Oryza sativa Japonica Group: one gene and its partner. The protein of the gene in region 2 binds, or shares a complex with, the protein of the main gene of each other region. Links are inferred from orthologs where the notes say so. Each region holds a gene or a part of one and is shown on either strand. Other genes may lie near its edges.

What was found.
Region 1: small ribosomal subunit protein uS13c (region 2) and rps8 share a complex: the UniProt entries of both Arabidopsis thaliana proteins name them as parts of the 30S ribosomal subunit. The link is inferred for Oryza sativa Japonica Group from reciprocal best matches to the Arabidopsis thaliana genes EMB3137 and rps8.

Annotation. Positions count from the first base shown.
Region 1 is NC_001320.1:76,169-78,469, forward strand, and holds rps8 (ribosomal protein S8), read right to left. Parts: upstream 941-2,301; coding exon 530-940; downstream 1-529. Other genes in the region: infA (translation initiation factor 1), read right to left, coding at 70-393; rpl14 (ribosomal protein L14), read right to left, coding at 1,080-1,451; rpl16 (ribosomal protein L16), read right to left, coding at 1,561-1,962. UniProt on the Arabidopsis thaliana protein: One of the primary rRNA binding proteins, it binds directly to 16S rRNA central domain where it helps coordinate assembly of the platform of the 30S subunit.
Region 2 is NC_089037.1:29,173,666-29,177,507, reverse strand, and holds small ribosomal subunit protein uS13c, read right to left. Parts: upstream 2,459-3,842; 5' UTR 2,365-2,458; coding exon 2,266-2,364; intron 1,572-2,265; coding exon 1,332-1,571; intron 949-1,331; coding exon 772-948; 3' UTR 557-771; downstream 1-556. Other genes in the region: uncharacterized membrane protein At4g09580, read right to left, coding at 3,775-3,842. UniProt on the Arabidopsis thaliana protein: Located at the top of the head of the 30S subunit, it contacts several helices of the 16S rRNA.

The sequences.
Region 1 (2,301 bases), on a different chromosome or scaffold from region 2:
AAAAAATAAGTCTCTTTGTTTGAATTTTAGAACTTTGAATTTTTTACCCTAGAAAAAAAAAAGAAAAACCTAACCCTTTGAATCTTTGGTATCCTTCAAATCTTCGGTATCCTTCGAGTCTTCGGTACGCTTCGAATCCTTATGGGGAAGTCTATAAATTATACGCCCCTTGCTTGAATCATAACGACTTACTTCAATTTTGACCCTATCCCCCATCAGTATTCGTATAGAACTAGACCGGATCTTTCCTGAAATATAGCCCAGGATGATGGTGTCATTCTCTAGGCGAACGCGGAACATTCCGTTGGGTAGGGCTTCCATAACTAAACCCTCGAAAGTAATTTTTGCTTCTCTCGGGTTTTTTTTTTCTCTCCTATTTTTCTTTTCTGTCATATTTTTTTTTCTCCTATTTTTCTTTTTTTATTTTCAAATAAAAAAACGTTGTATTTTTGTTTGAAAAATAGGAAGTTCAAGATAGAATTTGGGTACTATAACTATAGGTGGGGCGATTACCGCTATAGGCGGGCGATTACCATATATAACATAAGACTTCTCCCCCAATTCTGTTTAGTCGAGCTTCTCGATCTGTCATTATACCTCGAGAAGTAGAAAGAATAGCAATTCCCATTCCGCCCAAAACCTTAGGAATTCCTTGATAGTTGGCATAAATTCGTAAGCCAGGTCGGCTGATACGCTTTAAAAAGGTTCTAGTTCTATATATTCCCTTTCTAGTCTTTCTCTTTTGATGTCGCAAAGTTGAAACCAAGAAATATCTGTTACTTTCCTGATGTTTCCGAACACTTTCAATAAAACCCTCTCGTAGAAGTATTTTAACAATGTTTTCGGTAATATTTGTAGATACTACCCGAACAGTTCCTTTTTTATTCATGTCCGCGTTTCTTATAGAGGTTAGTAAATCAGCAATAGTGTCCTTGCCCATAAGACTCTAATTCTAGGTTCCTCCTAATTTTTCTATAATCAACATGTTCTCTTTTTTCTTTTCGTTTTGGATTCTAAAGCATATACGTGAAACACAATCTACTAATTTTTTATTTGATCTATATCTTGTCTACTAGTATTTATAATACTTCAGGAGCTAATGAAACTATTTTAGTAAAATTCAATTCTCTCAATTCCTCGGCGATCGCGCCAAAAACGCGAGTTCCTTTTGGATTTCCTTTTTGATCAATGATAACCGCTGCATTGTCGTCATAGCGTATTATTATACCGTCTTCGCATTTGAACTCTTTACATGTACGTACAATTACAGCTCGAATTACTTCGGATCTTTCTAGAGGCATTTGGGGCACTGCGTCTTTGATTACAGCAACAATAACATCACCAATACGAGCATATCGCTGATTACTAGCAGCTCCTATGACTCGAATACACATCAATTTTCGAGCTCCACTGTTATCTGCTACATTTAAAAGGGTCTGAGGTTGAATCATATTATTTTGATTTCAATTTGTTATTTCAATGCAAAAGGATGAAAGAAATATTGTCTTTCCAGAAAGAAGAACCTGGTTTTTTATTTTCAATACTACTTTTTTTGGGGGGTTATATTTCTAACCGAAGAAATTGACTTCGTATGGGCATTTTGCTGGCAGCTATGGAAATAGCTCGTCTAGCTACAGTTTCGGATACTCCGCCCATTTCATAAAGTATTCGACCTGGTTTAACAACGGCTACCCAATATTCGGGGGATCCCTTTCCCGAACCCATACGTGTTTCGGTCGGTCTTATTGTAACCGGTTTGTCGGGAAATATACGTACCCAGATTTTTCCACCACGACGTGCATATCGTGTCATTGCTCTTCGTCCTGCTTCTATCTGCCTCGCCGTAATCCAAGTGGGTTCAAGTGCTTGAAGAGCATATCTACCAAAACAAATACAATTGCCTCGGTAGGATTTTCCCTTCATTCTTCCTCTATGTTGTTTACGAAATCTGGTTCTTTTGGGGTTATAGTCGATGGTTCTCTCTTAGTTCCATCTCTACTGCAAAACTGGACATGAGAGTTTCTTCTCATCCAGCTCCTCGCGAATCAAATGAGAAAGTGTGCCAAATTTCTCTAATTCCACAATATTCTAAAATATTACGGATAGATACACATTAATAGGAAAGGTTAGGGTTTTTAATATTGAATTTATTAAAATACTAAAATATATAGTCAAGAAAGAGGATCTAGAATATATCTAGATGTGTATGTTTATTTATCTATATTCTATATTTAATGTAATTCTTTTTTTTTTTTTTTTTAATCTCCTTTTTTTATTTTACTCTTATTGAATCGCGGTAAA
Region 2 (3,842 bases):
AAACAAAGCCAGTAGTACCGAAATGTAACAAAATTTGGTATGGTTGATTTGGACAACAAAGTGAACAAGCCAAGATTGAGCCGAGCAGCTCTCTCCAGAAAGTTCCATGTTCCAACCACACGCATGGTAATCATGGTAATTGGTAACTCAAGTTTAAATCATCTCTTCACAAAAAACCAAAATCTCGACTGGTGTCCGCTGCGGGAAATTTAACTATTTGCCACTCTTGTGACATGGCAATTAACGATTTGCCACACCCTGCCAATAACATGTGGGCCCTCATGTGTCTATGACATGTGGGTCTAGTAGCAAATCGTTAAGCACCATTCGTAAGAGTGGCAAATAGTTAAAAGCCCCGTCTGCTGCTATCAGCAAGGCAGGTTCCTAATATTATTATTCAGCTACACTGATACTCCTCTTTCAGCTTGTAAAGTTAACAAGGCATTAGATCTGACGGTGGCATGTGGAACAAATGGACAGAAAACTGGCGATACGTTAATTCATCAGGAACAGGTCGGTCAAGCATAGATATGACAACAGAAGAGAGACAGCAAGATGATGGACTGAAAAACATAGTATAACCTTAATTTAGCATCAGTTCATGTAAGACAGGTGACAAATATAACTTTTTCAGTGACAGATCACAACCCGTGATTCATCTATGACGACACCAACATAAAATCTCATAATACCAGACAAGAGCGTGGTCAAGCAGAACACAAAAAATAAACAAGAGGCAAAGAACCAAAGGTAAATACATGGCAATGTGTCTTATTCCTCCTGGGAAGCAGGCGACTTCTTCTTCGCAACAGAAGCCCTCCTTCCCTTCAGCGTCCTGCAATTGTTCTTCGTCCTCTGTCCACGAACTGGCAGCCCTAGCTTGTGGCGGATGCCCCTGTAACACCTAATCTCCTTCAACCTCTCAATCGCCACACGATTAAACCGTTTCTGTAAAGCATGGCAAACACATCAGAACTCTATTTTAGCAACACAACATAAATCCACGATGACAGAAATGGGAAAAGAACTACAGAGTCTTTTTTTTTTCAGAACGATCAGTTTAAGGGTACCAAATTTCAAGGAATCTTCAACATGCTACTCCCTCCGTTTCACAATGTAAGTCATTCTAACATTTACCACATTCATATTGATGCTAATGAATCTAGACATATATATCTATCTAGATTTATTAGTATCAATATGAATGTGGGAAATGCTAGAATGACTTATATTGTGAAACGGAGGAAGTACCAAAGTAGGGTAACCATACTAATCACCAAAATTACAGAAAAAAAGTTAAGTGATGAATTAGCAAGGGATAGGGCCATTACAAGGTCTCCCTCAATCATGTACTTGGTAACCTCCTTACGGAGAGTGATGACTTCCTCCTCGGAGAGGTCCTTTGTGACCTTGTTGTCAAAATTGAGGTCCAAGAGGATCTGACGGGAGCGTGACCGCCCAATGCCATGGATGTACTGCAGTGAGTACTCTACCCTCTTGTGGTTCGGGATCTCCACTCCACCAATACGAATGCACTCGATCCGCAGGCCACCATGACCAATACCCCCTTTCTGTCCAGTACCCAATAATAAAAAAAAAAGAATCAAAACCACAACACAGTTAAAAGCACAGGCCTACAAATGACTGGGCAAGTAAAGATAATGGGGTGGGGAAATTTTTTCTTTAAACTTGGTCAAACCTAAAGAACTTTGACTACTTATAGTATGAAACTGAGGGAGTACTAACAAGGAATTACGATTCTTTTTACATCCTATATGCATAATTAACCTTCTTTGCTATTCCTAGTCCCTACATGAATTACATATACACTCTGCTGTCCAAAGAAATACTACTTCGTAACACTATCCATTCTTCCAACATGATATGTGCTAGGGGCAGAGATTCAAACTCATAAGCATACAAGCATATAAATACTAGTTCCTCACAGATGCCAATAATTCTAAAATTGCACAGGAACACTGTTCTTCCAACATCACGGAAAAAAAACTACTGAATTGCACATACTCAAAATTAGTACTGTAGTACACAAAGCACGGCCACTAGCCTCCCCAACCTCCAAGATGGCAAAGATAACAAAACGATCCCAGGGGTTGAGTTGCAATAAGTGATACGGATGTACGATGCGTCATGCGTGAATCACATATCAATCGCACAGAACCAAGGAACAGGACGAGCGAGCAAATGGCCGAACAAGAAGTGGGCGCGGAGGGGGGAGGCGGGGGGAGGGGTGGCTTTGCTTCTCACCTTGGGAACGGGGAAGGAGACGGAGGAGCTGCGGCCTCGGGCGGAGAGGGGCAGGGAGGAGGTGGCGATGGGGACGGAGACCATCGAGAGGGTCGCCATTTCTGCGCTCCCGACGAGGGACGGAGGTGCGTGCGCTTCTCTCCCGGAGCTCTCGGTGCTGTCTCGGATAGAACCCAACGGGAAGGAAGCCGATAAGGTAGCCGCACCTGTAGGCTACCACTGTATCGGCGACTTCTTGGGTTGGGCCTTGCAGGGTACGGCCCAAACAGGTCAAGTCGCTAGTTTACTCCTTCTGTTAAAAAAAGAAAAAGAAAAAAGAACAAGCTAGGAGTACTCCATATCTAGATAACGCCGTAGTTGCAATTTTTTTCTTCAAACTTCCAACTTTTACATCACATCAAAACTTTCCTACACACATAAACTTCCAACTTTTCTGTCACATCGTTCTAATTTCAATCAAGCTTCCAATTTTAGCGTGAACTAAACACACCCTAAGTTAGTACTAGGCTATTAAGTTAGTACTAGGCTGTGTTCTTTTCCCACTTTTTCCAACACATCTCCCTTGTGTTCTGCATGCACGCTTTTCAAACGGTTAAACGATGTGTTTTTTTAAAGATTTCTACACAAAAGTTGCTTTTAAAAAATCATTTTTCAAAAACAATTAATAAATACTTAATTAATCATAAGAAAATGCTTCGCTCCGTTTTACGTGCGCGAGAGGTGAGTTCCTCCCGAACACAGTCTTAAGTTATGTTCCTGACTTTCTTTTTTTTTAAAGCTTTTTTAAGTTATGTTCCTGACTTTCTTTTTTTTAAGCTTTTTTTTAAGATGGAGGGAGTAAACACGAAAGAAAATATTCTCCTCTCTCTAGGAAAAAAAGAAGAATATGTTGTAGCCTTTAGGATCAGCTATGCTGCATAAGCTTCTTCTGAATATAAATTTCTGGGGTTTTTGTGGGAGGATAAAGAACTGCATAAGCTTCCTCTGAATATAAATTTCTGGGGTTTTTGTGGGAGGATAAAGAATTTCAGCACGTTTATAATCCTAGATGTAACAGTTTAGGTACTACTAAATGTAAGTTTAATTCGTATTGCATTTTGTATTAGGATAATCTGTGGGGAACGTTCTGAATATCATCTTGCAGAAATGTCTCAAGTGAAAATAAAATAAATGGAGATAATAGGACAATTGGTGGCAAATAACACATCATTTCAAAACGACGGATAAGGTTGCCCATCCAATTGGGAGCAGTAAGATTTACTGTAAAACCACAACAACCAGATAGTTCCACCGCATCGTTAATTGGGACGTGGGGATTTATAAGAACATTGGGGCAACAGATGCAACAGCTTAGCGTCATCTATTATTGAGGAAAACATTCATCATGTTACTACTACATCTCTACAGCTAAATTGAATAGGTATACAATATCAACAAAGAAAGGGAAAAAAAACTAATACACTTCTGGAGTGCTCTACTAATACACTGTTTAGATGCTTTTTAGTGGCATCATTCGTATATTCTCTTCCTTTTCAGAATCGTTGGAGCAACAGCAACAGTTCCAATGAGGAATAGAA